Linked DNA regions of Lepisosteus oculatus. The protein of the gene in region 2 purifies or fractionates together with the protein of the main gene of each other region. This does not show direct contact. Links are inferred from orthologs where the notes say so. Each region holds a gene or a part of one and is shown on either strand. Other genes may lie near its edges.

Region 1 (10,264 bases), on a different chromosome or scaffold from region 2:
TGTGGGTGCAGTGGGAGTCAGTGTGTGTGTTGTGTTACAGGACTGACCCTCCTCAGTAATCTGCGGGTGCAGTGGGAGTCAGTGTGTGTGTGTGTTGTGTTACAGGACTGACCCTCCTCAGTAATCTGCGGGTGCAGTGTGAGTCAGTGTGTGTGTGTTGTGTTACAGGACTGACCCTCCTCAGTAATCTGCGGGTGCAGTGGGAGTCAGTGTGTGTGTGTTGTGTTACAGGACTGACCCTCCTCAGTAATCTGCGGGTGCAGTGTGAGTCAGTGTGTGTGTGTTGTGTTACAGGACTGACCCTCCTCAGTAATCTGCGGGTGCAGTGGGAGTCAGTGTGTGTGTTGTGTTACAGGACTGACCCTCCTCAGTAATCTGCGGGTGCAGTGGGAGTCAGTGTGTGTGTGTTGTGTTACAGGACTGACCCTCCTCAGTAATCTGCGGGTGCAGTGGGAGTCAGTGTGTGTGTGTTGTGTTACAGGACTGACCCTCCTCAGTAATCTGCGGGTGCAGTGTGAGTCGGGGTTCGGTGCCGGTGTCCTCACTCATCTGATGCTGTCTGGCTCGGACCCTGAGCACCTGGCGTGTGCGCTAGCCCTGCCACTGGTCACCAGGTGAGCTGTCTGTCTGTCTGTCTGTCTGTCTGTCTGTCTGTCTGTCTGTCTGTCTGTCTGTCTGTCTGTCTGTCCAGTGACGTGCCCGTGCCTGTCTGTCTCTCCAGTAACAGGCCCGTGCCTGTCTGTCTCTCTAGTGACAGGCCTGTGCCTGTCTGTCTCTCCAGTGACGTGCCTGTGCCTGTCTGTCTGTCTCTCCAGTGACGTGCCTGTGCCTGTCTGTCTCTCCAGTGACGTGCCTGTCTGTCTCTCCAGTAACAGGCCTGTGCCTGTCTGTCTGTCTCTCCAGTGACGTGCCTGTCTGTCTCTCCAGTAACAGGCCTGTGCCTGTCTGTCTGTCTCTCCAGTGACGTGCCTGTCTGTCTCTCCAGTAACAGGCCTGTGCCTGTCTGTCTCTCCAGTGACGTGCCTGTCTGTCTCTCCAGTAACAGGCCTGTGCCTGTCTGTCTGTCTCTCCAGTGACGTGCCTGTCTGTCTCTCCAGTAACAGGCCCGTGCCTGTCTGTCTCTCCAGTGACGTGCCTGTCTGTCTCTCCAGTAACAGGCCTGTGCCTGTCTGTCTGTCTCTCCAGTGACGTGCCTGTCTGTCTCTCCAGTAACAGGCCTGTCTGTCTCTCCAGTAACAGGCCTGTCTGTCTCTCCAGTGACGTGCCTGTCTGTCTCTCCAGTAACAGGCCCGTGCCTGTCTGTCTCTCCAGTGACGTGCCTGTCTGTCTCTCCAGTAACAGGCCTGTGCCTGTCTGTCTCTCCAGTAACAGGCCTGTGCCTGTCTGTCTCTCCAGTGACGTGCCTGTCTGTCTCTCCAGTAACAGGCCTGTGCTCCGGAAGCTGCTGCTCGATCACGCTGGTCTGCGTCTGGCCCTGCAGCCGCTGTGTCGCCGTGACGACGCCCCGGCCGCGGAGGAGGACCCGCTGGGCTGGGGGGCCCTCCTGGGCGCCTGGCTGCCGCCCCCCCAGCCCCCCTCGGCGCGGCGCCTGCGGGCGCTGTACTGCTGCGCGCTGGCGGACTGCCTCTCCGCCCTGCTGGGGCGCCCCGAGGGCGGGGGGGCCCCCGGCGCCCCGCGGCCCCCGCCCCCCGCCCCCTGCCCCTACCGGCGCGCCCCCCCGGACCTGGTGCTGCTGCTGGACGACGGCACGCGGCTCCCCGCCAGCCGGGCCGCCCTGACCGGGCAGGGGGGCTCCCCCTACTTCCACGCGCTGCTGCTGGGGGGCTTCCGGGAGGCGCTGGCCACGGGGGGGGTCCCCATCCGCGACGTCACCCCCGAGATGCTGCTGCCCGTCCTGCACTTCCTGCACGGCTGTCGCCTGGGCGACGGGGCGGCCTGCCCGCTGCTGGGGGCCCTGGGGGCTGGCGGGGAGCCCCCCCTCTGGGGGCCTCCCGGGGGCGGGGAGCCCCCCCTGCTGGCGGCCATGCGGGGCGCCAGCCGCTTCCTGGTGTCGGGGCTGCAGGCGCAGCTGGAGCAGCTGTGTGTGTCTCTCCTGGGCCAGCAGGGGGCGTCCGGACCGGCTCGGAGCGGGCCGGAGTCACTGGGCGGACTGGGTCAGAGAGGGCCAGACTCGGAGTCACTGGGCGAACTGGGCGGGTCCGGACCGGGTCGGAGCGGGCCAGACTCGGAGTCACTGGGCGAACTGGGCGGGTCCGGACCGGCTCGGAGCGGGCCGGAGTCACTGGGCGAACTGGGCGGGTCCGGACCGGCTCGGAGCGGGCCGGAGTCACTGGGAGAACTGGGCGGGTCCGGACTGGGTCAGAGCGGGCCAGACTCGGAGTCACTGGGCGAACTGGGCGGGTCTGGACTGGGTCGGAGCGGGCCGGAGTCACTGGGCGAACTGGGCGGGTCCGGACTGGGTCAGAGCGGGCCAGACTCGGAGTCACTGGGCGAACTGGGCGGGTCCGGACTGTGTCGGAGCGGGCCAGAGTCACTGGGCGAACTGGGCAGGTCCGGACTGTGTCGGAGCGGGCCAGAGTCACTGGGCGAACTGGGCGGGTCTGGACCGGGTCGGAGCGGGCCGGAGTCACTGGGCGAACTGGGCGGGTCCGGACTGGGTCAGAGCGGGCCAGATTCACTGGGCGAACTGGGCGGGTCCGGACTGTGTCGGAGCGGGCCAGAGTCACTGGGCGAACTGGGCGGGTCCGGACTGGGTCAGAGCGGGCCAGACTCGGAGTCACTGGGCAAACTGGGCGGGTCTGGACCGGGTCGGAGCGGGCCGGAGTCACTGGGCGAACTGGGCGGGTCCGGACTGGGTCAGAGCGGGCCAGATTCACTGGGCGAACTGGGCGGGTCCGGACCGGCTCGGAGCGGGCCGGAGTCACTGGGTGAACTGGGCGGGTCCGGACTGGGTCAGAGCGGGCCAGACTCGGAGTCACTGGGCGAACTGGGCGGGTCTGGACTGGTTTGGAGCGGGCCAGACTCGGAGTCACTGGGCGAACTGGGTGGGTCAGAACTGGGTCAGAGCGGGCCGGACTCGGAGCCGGACCCTGCCTCTCTCCTCGGCGCCCTGCCCTCGCTGTACCAGTTCTCCCAGCAGCACGGTTACCCCCTGCTGGGCCGCCGCTGCCTGGCCCTGCTGCTGGCCGCCCGCCCCCCCCTGCCCCTCGCCCCCGCCGCCGCCTGCCTGGGGCAGATCGCCGACCACGCCCACTGCGGCCAGCGCCTGCAGGAGGACATACTGGCCATGGTCACCCGCGCACTGACCTGACCCTGGGCAGAGAGGGGCGTGTCTGGGGAGGGAGGAGACAGGAGGAGAAGGGCGTGTCTGGGGAGGGAGGAGACAGGAGGAGAAGGGCGTGTCTGGGGAGGGAGGAGACAGGAGGAGAAGGGCGTGTCTGGGGAGGGAGGAGACAGGAGGAGAAGGGTGTGTCTGGGGAGGGAGGAGACAGGAGGAGAAGGGTGTGTCTGGGGAGGGAGGAGACAGTGGGGGAGGGGGCGTGTCTGGGGAGGGAGGAGACAGGAGGAGAGGGGTGTGTCTGGGGAGGGAGGAGACAGTGGGAGGAGAGGGGCGTGTCTGGGGAGGGAGGAGAGGGGCGTGTCTGGGGAGGGAGGAGACAGTGGGAGGAGAGGGGCGTGTCTGGGGAGGGAGGAGACAGTGGGAGGAGAGGGGCGTGTCTGGGGAGGGAGGAGACAGTGGGAGGAGAGGGGCGTGTCTGGGGAGGGAGGAGACAGTGGATGAGGGGGGCGTGTCTGGGGGAGGGGTTGTGGGAGGGGGAGTTTTGTCTAAGGGGGCGAGGGCCTGTGCTCTCTGGGTGCCCTCTGTGGGGCTGTAGATACTGTACATACACTGTGAATACCCAGCTGGACCCTGAGTCACTGTAATAAACGCTCAGCTGATGAACTCAAACTGCTGTGTCAGAGGTCAGTCTGTTCTCCTGCCCCCCAGTAACCCCCTGTCCGTCTCCAGCGGCGCGCCCTGCTCCCACACACCGTTCTGGAACAGGCCCAGTTTGATGACGCTGGCTCGTGCCCTGCTGGGCTCTCGCGGACCGGACCGGAGCTCTCTCGTCTGCTTGTCTCAGGGGGAGCGGTTTTACAGCCACAGTGCTGGCGGACATGAGGGAAAATTCAACTCCATGCAGACACGAGCGATGGGTTTACTCCCTGCTGAACATCTGCTACCGGAATAATAATTGCTGACCCTTATATAGCGCCTGTCTGGACACCCCACTCAATGCGCTGTACAGGTCATGGGGATCCCCCCCACCCCCAGCAGTGTGTACCCCACCTGGATGAGGCTCCAGTCCTCTCCCACACAGCAGCTCTCAGTGGAGGAGAGCAGAGGGACACCGGGGTGACACCCCGACTCTTCTCGAGAGACATTAACAATGGGATTGTTAATGAGCACAGAGAGTCAGGACCCCGGCTTCACGTCTCATCTGAAGGACGGCGCCTGTTTACAGTCCAGTGTCCCCGTCAGTGTCCAGCCCTACTCTTTTATAGCTCACCATCACTGGACTGGGGCATCAGGACCCACACAGAGCGCAGGGTGAGAGCGCCCCCTGCTGGCCCCACTCACACCTCTCCCAGGGGTCTCCCCTCCAGGTTCTGGCCAGGCGCCCCCTACTGGGCTCCAGTGGGCTGTGAGCTGGGGGACAGTGCCCCCTGCTGGGCTCCAGTGGGCTGTGAGCTGGGTGAGGGCGCCCCCTGCTGGGCTCCAGTGGGCTGTGAGCTGGGTGAGAGCGCCCCCTGCTGGGCTCCAGTGGGCTGTGAGCTGGGTGAGGGCGCCCCCTGCTGGGCTCCAGTGGGCTGTGAGCTGGGTGAGAGCTCCCCCTGCTGGGCTCCAGTAGCTGCCAGTTGTGAGTTGCAGAGGATTTTGGCTGCTGGCCGTACCAACCTGATCTCCGTCAATATCCAGACCTGTTGACATGGAGGGTCAGAGTGAGTGAGGACTTGGCTTCAGGTGTTGAGTGAGGACTTGAACCTGCTGGTTTTGGAGCTGGGGTATCTGCGCTCCGATGGGAGTACCTGGACTGTGCTGTACGCCGAACCCGGGACTGAGGGACAGAGGGGAAACGGACTGGGACGTCTCTTCACCAGGCTGCCCAGTCTGTCCCTGCCTCTCCGACTCTGTCTTGCCTCAGACCAGCAGATCTGGGTCAGCGGCAGAACCGAGCCGAGGAGCGACCGGCTACGACCCGTCATGCTGTGTCTGGCGTCTCCCCCGCTGTGGGGTCTCTATCCTGTCTCCGCCCGCCCCGGCTGTCCCCGGCGGTCAGGGTCAGGCTGCAGGGCAGAGGGCGAGGGAGGAGAGGGGCGCCCTGGCCGCGCGGCCGATCAGACTGGCCACAGCGCTCTGCCCCTTGGAGAAGTTTCCCCACGCGGACCTGATCGCTCGGCTCCGCTGACCAGCCTTGTGTGATCCGGGACTCGTTCTGTACTCGTTCTGTACTCATACTGTAATCGTTCTGTACTCGTTCTGTACTCGTTCTGTACTCGTACTGTACTCGTTCTGTACTCGTACTGGACTTGTCTCTGTATTCATACTGTACTCACCTCTGTACTCATACTGTACTCAGTAACAGCGCTCCAGGCTCAGCAACAGTGCTCAGTAACGGTGCTTAGTAGCTGTGCTCAGTAACAGCGCTCCAGGCTCAGAGACTGTGCTCAGAAACAGCGCTCCAGGCTCAGAGACTGTGCTCAGTAAGTGCTCTCCAGGCTCAGAGACTGTGCTCAGTAACAGCGCTCCAGGCTCAGAGACTGTGCTCAGTAAGTGCTCTCCAGGCTCAGTAACAGCGCTCCAGGCTCAGAGACTGTGCTCAGTAACAGCGCTCCAGACTCGGAGACTGTGCTCAGCAGCTGTGCTCAGTAACAGCGCTCCAGGCTTGGAGACTGTGCTCAGTAGCTGTGCTCGGTAAAAGCGCTCCAGGCTCGGAGACTGTGCTCAGTAGCTGTGCTCAGTAACAGCGCTCCAGGCTCGGAGACAGTGCTCAGTAGCTGTGCTCAGTAACAGCGCTCCAGGCTCGGAGACAGTGCTCAGTAGCTGTGCTCAGTAACAGCGCTCCAGACTCAGGCTCTCCTGCGCTCGCGGCTCTGCTCCTAATATGGTGTTGGAATGTCCGCGGTGACGTCACGGCCTGGGAACGGGCGTGCGCGTGTGAGCGAGGGGGTCTCTCTCCAGACACGCGCACTGCGCGGCGGGACAGCGGCCGGGAATCCGCCCTTTTCCGAGTCCCTTCCCGAGCCTCTTCCCGAGCCTCGAGCCTCTTCCCGGCTGCGCTCCCGCTGGCGACACCGACCTCCGCTCCCGGCTCGACCGCGGGACCGTCCGGCTCCCGGGACAGGATCGACTTCGGCAGCTTCCAGCGAGAAACCGGCGCCGAGAGACGATGGACGATCTGGGTGAGTTCGACTGCTGTTGCTGTAGCGCTGCGTGGATTTTTATCACACTCAGAGCAGTGTGTGCCCACTGGAGACACACAGAGCAGTGTGTGCCCACTGGGGAGACTCTCACAGAGACACAGAGCAGTGTGTGCCCACTGGGGAGACTCTCACAGAGACACAGAGCAGTGTGTGCCCACTGGAGACACACAGAGCAGTGTGTGCCCACTGGGGAGACTCTCACAGAGACACAGAGCAGTGTGTGCCCACTGGAGACACACAGAGCAGTGTGTGCCCACTGGGGAGACTCTCACAGAGACACAGAGCAGTGTGTGCCCACTGGAGACACACAGAGCAGTGTGTGCCCACTGGAGACACACAGAGCAGTGTGTGCCCACTGGAGACACTCTCACAGAGACACACAGAGCAGTGTGTGCCCACTGGGGAGACTCTCACAGAGACACAGAGCAGTGTGTGCCCACTGGGGAGACTCTCACAGAGACACAGAGCAGTGTGTGCCCACTGGAGACACACAGAGCAGTGTGTGCCCACTGGGGAGACTCTCACAGAGACACAGAGCAGTGTGTGCCCACAGGAGACACACAGAGCAGTGTGTGCCCACTGGAGACACTCTCACAGAGACACTCAGAGCAGTGTGTGCCCACAGGAGACACTCTCACAGAAACACAAAGAGCAGTGTCTCTCACAGAGACACTCAGAGCAGTGTGTGCCCACCGGAGACACTCTCACAGAGACACTCAGAGCAGTGTGTGCCCACTGGAGACACTCTCACAGAGACACACAGAGCAGTGTGTGCCCACTGGAGACACTCTCACAGAGACAAAGAGCAGTGTGTGCCCACTGGAGACACTCTCACAGAGACACAGAGCAGTGTGTGCCCACTGGAGACACTCTCACAGAGACACACAGAACAGTGTGTGCCCACTGGAGACACTCTCACAGAGACACTCTCACAGAGACACACAGAGCAGTGTGTGCCCACTGGGGAGACTCTCATAGAGACACAGAGCAGTGTGTGCCCACTGGAGACACTCTCACAGAGACACAGAGCAGTGTGTGCCCACTGGAGACACTCTCACAGAGACACACAGAGCAGTGTGTGCCCACAGGAGACACTCTCACAGAGACACACAGAGCAGTGTGTGCCCACTGGAGACACTCTCACAGAGACACTCAGAGCAGTGTGTGCCCACCGGAGACACTCTCACAGAGACACACAGAGCAGTGTGTGCCCACAGGAGACACTCTCACAGAGACAAAGAGCAGTGTGTGCCCACTGGAGACACTCTCAGAGACAAAGAGCAGTGTGTGCCCACTGGAGACACTCTCACAGAGACACAGAGCAGTGTGTGCCCACTGGAGACACTCTCACAGAGACACACTGAACAGTGTGTCCACTGGAGACACTCTCACAGAGACACACAGAGCAGTGTGTGCCCACAGGAGACACTCTCACAGAGACACACAGAGCAGTGTGTGCCCACAGGAGACACTCTCACAGAGACACACAGAGCAGTGTGTGCCCACTGGAGACACTCTCACAGAGAGACACTCTCACAGAGACACACAGAGCAGTGTGTGCCCACTGGAGACACTCTCACAGAGACACTCTCACAGAGACACAGAGCAGTGTGTGCCCACAGGAGACACTCTCACAGAGACACACAGAGCAGTGTGTGCCCACTGGAGACACTCTCACAGAGAGACACTCTCACAGAGACACACAGAGCAGTGTGTGCCCACTGGAGACACTCTCACAGAGACACACAGAGCAGTGTGTGCCCACTGGAGACACTCTTACAGAGACACAGAGCAGTGTGTGCCCACTGGAGACACTCTCACAGAGACACAGAGCAGTGTGTGCCCACTGGAGACACTCTCACAGAGACACAGAGCAGTGTGTGCCCACAGGAGACACTCTCACAGAGACACAGAGCAGTGTGTGCCCACAGGAGACACTCTCACAGAGACACACAGAGCAGTGTGTGCCCACTGGAGACACTCTCACAGAGACACTCAGAGCAGTGTGTGCCCACAGGAGACACTCTCACAGAGACAAAGAGCAGTGTGTGCCCACTGGAGACACTCTCACAGAGACACACAGAGCAGTGTGTGCCCACAGGAGACACTCTCACAGAGAGACACTCTCACAGAGAGACAGAGCAGTGTGTGCCCACTGGAGACACTCTCACAGAGACACACAGAGCAGTGTGTGCCCACTGGAGACACTCTCACAGAGACACAGAGCAGTGTGTGCCCACAGGAGACACTCTCACAGAGACACTCAGAACAGTGTGTGCCCACAGGAGACACTCTCACAGAGACACAGAGCAGTGTGTGCCCACTGGAGACACTCTCACAGAGACACACAGAGCAGTGTGTGCCCACTGGAGACACTCTCACAGAGACACAGAGCAGTGTGTGCCCACTGGAGACACTCTCACAGAGACACACAGAGCAGTGTGTGCCCACTGGAGACACTCTCACAGAGACACTCAGAGCAGTGTGTGCCCACTGGAGACACTCTCACAGAGACACTCTCACAGAGACACACAGAGCAGTGTGTGCCCACTGGAGACACTCTCACAGAGACACACAGAGCAGTGTGTGCCCACAGGAGACACTCTCACAGAGAGACAGAGCAGTGTGTGCCCACTGGAGACACTCTCACAGAAGTGTGTGCCCACTGGAGTTTCTTATAGTCACAGGGGCAGGGAGAGTCACCCCAGTTTCCCTGTCTTCACCCTGTGCTGCCCTAGAGCCCCAAGAGAAGACAGATGAACTCAGACGTTTCCAGTTTTATTCGCACACCGTCCCTGCTCAGCGGCCAGCTGAGAGAAGGAAGCAGTTTCTGAAAAAATCCAATCAAAGGAAACAGCAGAACATCTGAGCTGGAGTAGAGTCGATATCCGCTGGGAGCAGCTCTTGCCGGCTGTCGGGATACCGGATCCCGGATCTGCGGGGCTCGGGGCAGACTGTGGGCTCTGTCTGGGCACTTCCTGGGTCACCGGCCCGGAGACACAGAACCTCTCCCCCTTCTCAACCCGGAGACACAGAACCCTCTCCCCCTGTTCAACCCGGAGAAACAGAACCGACACAACAAGACCCGGTGTGGCTGTTTCCTTGTCTCTCTGACACAAAGAGACCCGGTGTGGCTGTTTCCTTGTCTCTCTGACACAAAGAGACCCGGTGTGGCTGTTTCCTTGTCTCTGTGACACAAGGAGACCCGGTGTGGCTGTTTCCTTGTCTCTCTGACACAAAGAGACCCGGTGTGGCTGTTTCCTTGTCTCTCTGACACAAGGAGACCCGGTGTGGCTGTTTCCTTGTCTCTCTGACACAAAGAGACCCGGTGTGGCTGTTTCCTTGTCTCTCTGACACAAAGAGACCCGGTGTGGCTGTTTCCTTGTCTCTGTGACACAAGGAGACCCGGTGTGGCTGTTTCCTTGTCTCTCTGACACAAAGAGACCCGGTGTGGCTGTTTCCTTGTCTCTCTGACACAAGGAGACCCGGTGTGGCTGTTTCCTTGTCTCTCTGACACAAAGAGACCCGGTGTGGCTGTTTCCTTGTCTCTCTGACACAAGGAGACCCGGTGTGGCTGTTTCCTTGTCTCTGTGACACAAGGAGACCCGGTGTGGCTGTTTCCTTGTCTCTCTGACACAAAGAGACCCGGTGTGGCTGTTTCCTTGTCTCTGTGACACAAGGAGACCCGGTGTGGCTGTTTCCTTGTCTCTCTGACACAAAGAGACCCGGTGTGGCTGTTTCCTTGTCTCTGTGACACAAAGAGACCCGGTGTGGCTGTTTCCTTGTCTCTCTAACACAA
Region 2 (9,415 bases):
TGCATTCTGTTTCTGTTTGTGAGACATCAGAACAAGAAAAGAAAATTGGTTCATTTCCGTTTATTGTGGCTTCTTGAAAGAACAGTTTCAGCTGTGCAAGAGCATAACACTGATACCCCTTTGAATGACTAGGTTCATAAGTTTAAAAGCTTATACAGTATGTCTTTACTGCTGCATATGGCAAAATCAAAACCGTCCAAAAGAAAGTAATGAGGAAAATTATGGAGCAGGAGACGTGTTTGTCTGAAGTTTAATCTTAAACCAAAAACGTAAGTCTGAGCCATGACATTAGACACATACAAGAACTAATCAGCTGGTATTTCATTCAGCTGCCAGTGACAATGTACTGTAACACCTTGGTGAAGAAAGCAGTGTCAAAGCTAATAAATCCTGTGCAAGACCACCCTTCCAGCCCTGTAATATCTGATTAAATTAAGAACAACATTTCTCCATTCTCAATCTACTGTATGTTAAAAAATCAGATTCTAATGCTATCCTCTTAAAGAAACACACACAACTATTTTGACTTAAAAAAGACAAAGCATTTATTTTTCAAAATTATGGAAATACCTTCACACCCACTGAAATATAGGCCGATCTCTACCATGTGCAAACTATAGCATTAAACAGATTCCATCAAATCAAAATATCATAACAAGAACAATGGTGAGTAGCAATTACCAAAAATAATAACAGAAGGCTATACCAAATTGGTAATTTATTCTTTAGTCTCACAATAGGAATAAAAGCCTACTTTTCTGTACTTCTTAGAAATAAATCTCTTTTTTTCCCACAAAAGGCTTGTAATGTATTGTATGCATAGTTCAGCTCATCCAAAGTCATACAGTATGTCCTGTATTTTTTATTCCAATGACAAGGCTATCTATGCTCCTAGTGTTCACGCAGGGACGTTGTGCCTGAGTGAAGAAACCAAGCTGCAGTTTCACAGAAGATGGCACACCCGCAGCCAGCAGAGCTGCAGTATCATAATGGAGAAAAAACAATACCCACACACCAGCCAAGTCTAATCGCATTCAGAGCGCAGCAAGCAAATCTTAAGAGCAGGAGGCAGAAGTGAAAGGGGAGTATTTGGATTGTATTTTAAATCTAACTCTAAAAGAAGGATGAAATGACTGCAAAAATGCAGGTTTGCAATAGCACGTAATGTAATAATACAAAGTCAGTGTGCTGGGGGGATGTTTCATTCACCGAGAAATTGAGCCAATTTCAAAAGAATGAAAAAAACAACAAGCAAAAGATAGTTTCTGTTATAATATTTGGGAAACTGCTGCGTGGTCAAGCGTTCAATATTAACTGCACTGCGCCTTTGCAGGTCGGTAGAGCAATGCTGGTTATTTCTTGGTTTCGACTGCAGGCTTGGCCTTGCTCTCCAGGGAGACTGGGATGGTAATTTCCGCAGCCTGGATTGCCGGTTTGGGAAGAGGAGCCTCTACGGTCAGCACTCCTTCTGGAGAGAGGGAGGAGACCACCTTGTTGACGTCCACGCCAGGAGGGAGCCTGGGGAGGGGAACGAGAAAGCGTTGCCGATTTCAGCAAGCAAAGGGAACACATGCCTGAGGGCCCGGACAGGTGATGTTGTCATAAACTGAATTCATGAACTGGACTTTGCTAGGAGGGCATCAGCTAGTCCTACTACAAGTGTTCCACACAACAAAGACAGGCTACCAGTTTTATACAATATATATTACACATGCTTCATACTGTTTTTCTAATACTCACGTGTATTTTCTGGTGAAGCATCTTGAAATGTAGCCATGCTCATCCTGTCTCTCTTCATGTTTACCTACAGGTACAAATGCATAGGTCAGGCATGGAATGTTTTCAGTTCTGAGGTTACACCAGCTTCCTTTAGCAACTGGCAATTCTCCCTTGACAGCATTTTAATAGATCCCTGTGTGTCTTCCTGCTTTAATATAGAACATTCCTATTGAAACTGAGATCCTGATAACACAGTTGTTTGCTTTGGCAACTGACTATTACTGCAAACAAGCACTGCTTGTATCACAGTGAAGCATATTCCATAGATTGCATTCATTTTATATGTGCTCATGGTTACAGTTGATTTCTTAAATTTAGCCATTACTTTTCAATGCATTTGAGAGACATCACGTGAAAACAGGTATATAAATGTTGCACTTTAGGAAATCATTACAAATGGTCTTTTTACTTCATGCAAAGTTGCAATGGAAATTATCAAGTGATAAAAACAAATTTAGACAGTAATCTAAAACAGTAAAAACTGACTTATTACAGTAACATAACATAACTTTATTAGCCCTATACAATTTCTTGAATTAGGAATTCATCTTTTCACATACCCCAGCTTGCTCTCCATGAGACAAACAGATAGGGAGAGAGCTTGGGGTCAGAGTGCAGGGTCAGTCATTGTACAGCACCCCTGGAGCAGTTGGGGTTAACAGCCTTGCTCAGGGGCCCAACAGAGTAGGATTCCTTTGCCAGCTGCAGGATTTGAACCGGCAACCTTCCAGCCACAGGCGCAGAGCTCCGCCCTATATACTTTTATAAAAGCAATCCAATGCTGCAAATAGTGACACACGAAGTGAAGCTTCTTAAAAACTTTGCAAGTCTGATTAGGAAATGAAACAGCCCTGGCTGGGCTAGCAGCTGACTCTGAAAGCAACAAGCAAGTGTGAGTCATCAGTGACTCAGCTGCAATCCCCATGGCACCGATGAAGGAGGGACGCAGTTATTGGCAAATTTGCTGGCTTTTCAGATGAAACTATTTTTTTAACACTGCCATTAAACCAGATGTAGACGGGAACAGATGCAGATCAGCTTGCTTTCGAACACAGCTATGACCATGGTAAAACTCAATTCATCAAGCATTCAAGTTCGGCCAGTCTCGGGGGCAGTGTGTGCTAGCTGTGTCACTTCAACAGAGAACCAGTGCTGTCACCCCAGCTGCCCCCTGCTCTGAGGAGAATCCAGGGAACACGTTGACTTCTGTTCATTTTCCACAACAAAGGCCAGTTCAGAAACATTTGTTTTTTTAAAACTAGAAAGACTTTCTCACTGAGATAAACTAGACAGCATGAGATATACCATATTCCCAACATTCAATGCTGTCATAACTTTTAAAAGAATGTGTTTTATGAAGCTGTCGACTTTCTTATTTTTACTAATTTGCTCCAAACAAACAGGCAACACATAAACAGAAACAAACATAAATCAGAAACAAACAATGACTACATATTAATCTTTATAAGACAGATGACATGATCAAGGCTGCACTCACGGTGAAAGGAAGGAATAAAATACGTCTGGAAGTTTTTTTTTTAACCCTTTAAAATTAAAAAGGTCATTTTGTTCTGTTTGCGAAGATTTAAAACCCATGAAAGCTGGTGCACCATACAGACCCTCACCTCACGCCCGCTCGGGCCCGTACCGTGGCCACGCCCCTCGCAGCGCTAGCGCCCCCAGAAGGAGGGGGGAAGACAGAGCTGCCTGCGGGACTCACCTGTGATTTCCACCACGCCGTCCTTGGTTTTTACCACCAGTTCCTCGGGGGAGAAGTGGTTGACATCCAGGCTGACTTTCCACTGGTCCTGGGTCTGCTTGATCTCGGACATGCCGCTGCTCAGCTGGCGGGAGAGCGCGCGGGCGTAGGGCGACATCGCCGGCCCCGGGGGCAGCGGGCTCACAGCGCTGGGGGCCCCTGCTTCGGCTGCCGGGCCCACAACTGAGGGCCGAATGTAGCCGGGCCAGTGAGTGCTCGGCCAGTGGTACCAGTCCTCGGTGAGGGCTGGCATGCCGAAGGACTGGTCGAAGATCCGGTTGCCGTGGAACCAGTCTCGGAAGGGATCCCAGCTTGGGCCGCGAAGGAAAGTGAAGGGAATGTGGCGCTCGGACATGTCGGCGAGGAACGTTTTAGGAACGGGGACAGACCACCCTCAGAAGGTTTTGCAGTTCTCTGCTCTCCTCTGCGCTGTTTGGAAGAGCGAGTGCTCTAAGTAATAGTTGGCCGTGGGCTTTATAAACTTCTCCTTCACTGCCCGCCTCTCACCCCCCCATCATATTTATAGAAGAGCCTAGAAAGTCTATTCATGGAAGACAGACCACTGGAAAGGAATTTAGTGTTCCAAGACCGCCCCCCCCCGCCGCTGGATAACACACTGTGTTTAACCCCCGGCTCCAGCCAATTGTAATCCCCTGCCTGGTATTACAGCCTGAAAGAGGAATCTGGTGTGAACCTTGCCAACACTCCTCTGTTGGAGCACGGCAGAAGCGCTGATAAGGAACAGCACTCCAGCAACTGCTGGAGCAGAGCTGTTCCGAGCTGCTTTGAAATGTATCATGAGGAGGGACTGCCATCACCGAAACCCGAACTGGTCACAGAGACGGGATTTCGAATGTGGTACATTCCTGAGAACTTCAGAAGCTACCCTGGTTCTTCAGAACCAAGCACAAAAATTGAGGCTCTTTGTGGCTTCAACCCAAATCACTTCAAAGTCATCTAGCAGTTTGTCTCAACATGCTACAAATGGGGCACCTGAATGCTAGAAGGGGCATCATTAGTGTAGGAAACCACTAAACACCAGTGCTAGGGAGACCCAATTAGTTCCTGACAAATGTCATTCTAATGACGTTTTTACAAACCTTCTGAAGAAAAAAATAAAGAAGCTGAAAAACTGACAGCAATTTTTCCTTTTTAAGCTGGGGTTTTCAGAAAGAAGATGTCTTTTTTTTGGGGGGGTGGGGGTGGCAGTAGGTCACACAGGTGAAGTTGCTTGTGAAGGCCTTGCGACAAGCACAAGCTCACTAAAATAAATCTAATACCTAATGTCATTTTCCCAGGACAGGCCTGGTTCCAAATGTCTCCATGCTTCGGCTCCCCAGGCTGTGACAAAATGTGTCTGAGGAGTTAACAGACTAGAAGTGACAGCTGAGAGGCTAGCTCAGGCCTCACTGGGTTGAGGATCTTGAAAAGCTGAACGACAGAAGTAATAACTCAGGCTTTCTTGTCCTATTCGCACTGTATATTAATAAGCTAAATATCACTGAGCTATTCATCTGAAACAATATTTTTTCAGGATTCTTTCACCCAGGGGGTCTTGACAGCAGTAGTCAACAGCATGAAGAAAGATGAGTTTTACATTAATTTTGAGCAGCTGATACTAATAGGTATAAAATATGTCAGGCTGTTTTTCTCTATAATAAGATTTAATATTCATTCGTAGCAAAGGAGAATAACACAGTTGTCATCTCCCCTTACTTTCTTCCCCAATATGTTTTGAGATGTCTGATGGTCATAATCAAACACTTCGGATCTGTATTACTGAATATCTAAACAGCAACATTCAGCAATGAATTAAAACATCTTCATTTTAAATATCAAAACTCATGTGAACTAAATATAGTCTCATTATTCTGACAAACCCCTAAAACAGTTATTCTACTATAGTGTATTGTATAACGATATTATCCTTCAATTTTATTTTACAGACACATACTGTATAAATCAATATACAGTATAACATTTCCTTTTCAGTGGGACATACTGTAGAAGGTTCGAGATCAATTCAAAAATCATCACCAACGTTTTAATTTTAACCTTACGACGATACTGAGTTTGAATTCTGCTGTCCAATGATTTTCTTCTAATCGTTTTTATGTAAAATTACAATGGCTCAATTTCTGATGAAACATTTAAAGGGAATTATTCTATAACTAAAGTGACGGCCGGCTCAATAAAAAATGAAATTCAGCACAATCTTCTGCGCACCACAAATCACAACGACAGGGATCTGTATATTCGTACAAACCCCCTTTTATTAATATTAGTTGAGTGATATCATATAGTCATACTTTCAACATTTAGCGAAAATCAAATGTGTTATCATACAATTTATCAGTACCTCCATTTTTTAACATTATTTCTCTCATTAATTGAACTGAGGGGCATAACTGAGAAAGCAACGAGAATATTCTCGAGATTAGGCTAAAATTAACGGAGGTGTCATCATGTTTTATTCTTGTAAGATACATTTACACTCGAGGTTCAGCCAGAAACCTCCAGCCTCGAATTCAACCGGAGTTACCAGAATATTCCATCACTCGTGTCTGAAACCAAAGGGATTTCATCACCCAAGCGAGGAAAAGTGGAGGAAAAACAGGCTCGCGAGTGCCCTCTATGGGATGAATTCGTTTACAGAGAAACTCACATAATTTATTTGTGTGTGTGCAGTATGAGCAGTATGTGCCAAGTGTAAAACCGTAGTCTTATCACAGACTATCGTTAATCTGCCAGAGGACTGAGAACTGCTAATTAGCACGCATAATAATAAATAGCCCTTTAATTTGTTGTTAGTGTTGTTGCTTTGAACAGACAAACACGGGGGAATATACTGTACCGGTGTGCGCTGATTGCATATGAAAATTGTCGTTTAGTTTTTGCTCAAGACTCATATAACAACCCTCAATGCCATTCCATTTTTCTGAAGGAGATGTGCTGCTGTGTAGCATTATCTGTCCTACAATACCTGCCCCCAGACCTCAAAGTGTAATACATTTAATTTCGTTCTTTCCCATTAACCGATTGACGTTATATAATGTTAAAAAAAAAAAACAACTGTGTTCTTCAACGAGGAAACTCGGATCCCCCGTGTCCCAAATTTAAAATATTGTTCTTTTTTTGCGGAATGAAGCTCGGCTTGAACACAGGGTTGACGCAGTAACGAGTTAAAGCGACTTCACTGCATGTCGATGCAATGCTGTAGTGATTGTAGGGTGGAAAAGTGCGCATGCCGGCGAGGGTGACGGGCCAGCGGGCGGACCCTCGTACAACTGTCGAGCAAATAGTTTCTTTTGGAAGCACTGACCAAGTAGGAGGGGGAAGATAATTCAGCGTGCGAGGAGCTGCGATTACAGTCCAGTGTTGATCAGAATGACTAACCCTTAGTAATTACCTGTATTCTTTTCAAAAAGGTAAATCCAGTATTTCCATGTATTTTCTTGTCTGTGTATAAATTCAGTGGACTATCTTATTATTCACACCTGAAGAAAGCTCCACGGCCGAAACCTTGTGTTTTTTCTTCTCTTTTCAGCAGGGAATAAACCTATTACTTGTTCCTTTGCAGCCTACGCATGCTGACGCAGCTGCCCACCTGAACTATCTTATTATTTGACTGCTTAATTGTAATACTTCTAACCTGGTTCAGAGGGATGTTATACTCTAGGTGACTGTAATTTTAATGAAGTGAATGGTTTCTGTAAAAGAAACCTTGAGAAAAATCCTGTATATGTTCTATTTTACTAATTTCAGTTAAATTGTTTAATAACTACTCGCACTAGATTAAAAGGGCCCTCCAAGGACGGAGTATGAAATCGCTGAGATGCAGGGTCATAAACTAAAATGTTCTCTGCCAGGACCTCCATCACACGTTACTGGTGAGTTTAATTAACACAGGCGATTGTGGAAGTTGGCGGCACTGTGGTGCAGTGGTGTGCCCTGCTGCCTCGTGCCACGGGCTTCTTCTTTCTGCTCCAGTTTCCTCCCACAGTCCAAAGACATGCTGGTGGGTTAAGTGGCTGGTGGGAAAACTAGCCCTGGTGTGAGCGTGTGTGTCAGTGTCTGCCCTGAGATGGACTGGTGTCCTGTCCAGGGTGTATCCTGCCATGCTTGCTAGGATAGGCTTCAGCTCTCTCGTGACCCTGTATTGGATAAATCAGTTAGACACTGGATGGATGGAAGGAATAGTGAAAGTCACTCTTACCTTCCCACAGGCTGTGTGGCTTCTCAGGCTTTTTTGTCGAAGAAAAATCTACCCGATTAGCATTCCAAAACTACAAGTGGAAACCCACAAAGAGAAAATGCAGGTAAAAAAAGGCCCAGGGATAGTTTTTCTTTTTAAACCTGTTGTGAGAATTTTAGCACAGTTTTACTTTGAGGTAAAACGATGGAGATGTTCTCACTGGTATACAAAGCCCTGAAAACAAACACACAACAAAACAACAGCCAAGTTCCCATTGTTATGTTGTTTATTGTACCGTGTATTAACTAGTACACTACAGCTACTGACTTTTATACAATCCAAAGGTGAACGTAGTTGTTCTTTTTTTTTCCACATAATTTGCTTGTTGTTTTTTAACTCGGGTTACATTTTAAATGTAACATTCAGAGGGGGACAGAGACTGAAACAGACGAGGAAGACTGAAGGTTCCCTGATACACCACCAGCATTCAAATCAGTACAAAACTGAAAACACATTGGAAACGCATTGTCTGTACATGGACAGCTCTCCCTCATTGCTTTGTACAAAATGACAATGAAAAGGAGATACTGAAAAGGGCTAATGTCCTGAAGCCATGGACATTTTGGGATATGCAAAACCATTGCCGCATTAACAGCTAGTATTCCTGGATATAAACCAGGGACACATATTTGAAAATTCTACTGCATTTCTTCTCAGGTTTAACTGGCTGCTTTATTTACACTCTGAAATGGAGGCCTGAAACTACGGTGCGATATACCTTACACTGGACTGAGGGACTTGACAAGCAAAGGTTTGGGAGATAAGACAAATATCCCCCTTAACTCATGCGACTGATGGAACACTCTGCCACTATGGGTTAGTAATCCTTCCTCCACGGTTTGGTTTTGCCTTCACTATTTTCTGCCATCCCCATATCTCAGGGGTTCCAGGTCCTTGAGGCCCATGCACCTGCTGGCTTTCAGTCCAGCTGAGCTTAATTATGTAACTGAACTATCAAGTTGCTTGATTGGAATACATGCACTTTTTGTTTTTGCTCAGACGTTTGGGATTCTGTGTTACTTATAGTGCTACTGTCCTAACACGTTTAAGAGCTGAAAACAATCAAACAGTTCAAATTAGTGCTGGGTTCAATCCCGGGCCCGGGGAGCTATCTGTGTGGAGTTTGTATGTTCTCTTGTTCACATGCATTTTCACTGGGAGCTCTGGTTTCCTCCCAAAGTCCAAAGGCATGCTGGTAGGTTGACTTCTGGGAAACCTGGCCCGGGTGTGAGTGTGTGCATGTTTGTGTCTGCCTGCTCTGTGATAGACTGGCATCCTGTCCAGGGTGTATCCTGCCTTGTGCCCTGCTGGGATAGGCTCTGTCTCCCCTGCGACCCTCAATTGGATGAAGTGCTTAGCAAATTGAAAAAAAATTGAATTAAATCAATTGAGGGTTTAACTGTGTACAGTAAGGAAGAGATTGGTTTGAGTTTACGGGCTCCCAGGACAGGAATAAGAACCCCTGCCATCACTGCTGCTACAGCAGGTCCCTATCTCTCTCTTGCTCCACATGGGGGGGGTTGGTTAATACCTGATGCTCATTGGCCAAGCTGTCGTGCGTCATTCCGGTGGATTAATGCCAAAGAACACAGGAATCCCTTTGCTTAACTAAGCAAAGGCAC

The links.
Region 1: the proteins of hspb1 (region 2) and transforming growth factor beta-1-induced transcript 1 protein-like purify together in Homo sapiens (affinity purification with western blotting; 3 studies listed by BioGRID). This does not show direct contact. The link is inferred for Lepisosteus oculatus from reciprocal best matches to the Homo sapiens genes HSPB1 and TGFB1I1.

The regions. Positions count from the first base shown.
Region 1 is NC_090699.1:1,269,559-1,279,822, forward strand, and holds the start of transforming growth factor beta-1-induced transcript 1 protein-like, read left to right. Parts: upstream 1-6,193; 5' UTR 6,194-6,431; coding exon 6,432-6,444; intron 6,445-10,264. Other genes in the region: armc5 (armadillo repeat-containing protein 5), read left to right, coding at 482-614, 1,420-3,310. UniProt on the Homo sapiens protein: Functions as a molecular adapter coordinating multiple protein-protein interactions at the focal adhesion complex and in the nucleus. Links various intracellular signaling modules to plasma membrane receptors and regulates the Wnt and TGFB signaling pathways.
Region 2 is NC_090721.1:3,380,105-3,389,519, reverse strand, and holds hspb1 (heat shock protein beta-1), read right to left. Parts: upstream 4,009-9,415; 5' UTR 3,894-4,008; coding exon 3,500-3,893; intron 1,805-3,499; coding exon 1,741-1,804; intron 1,519-1,740; coding exon 1,353-1,518; 3' UTR 46-1,352; downstream 1-45. UniProt on the Homo sapiens protein: Small heat shock protein which functions as a molecular chaperone probably maintaining denatured proteins in a folding-competent state. Plays a role in stress resistance and actin organization.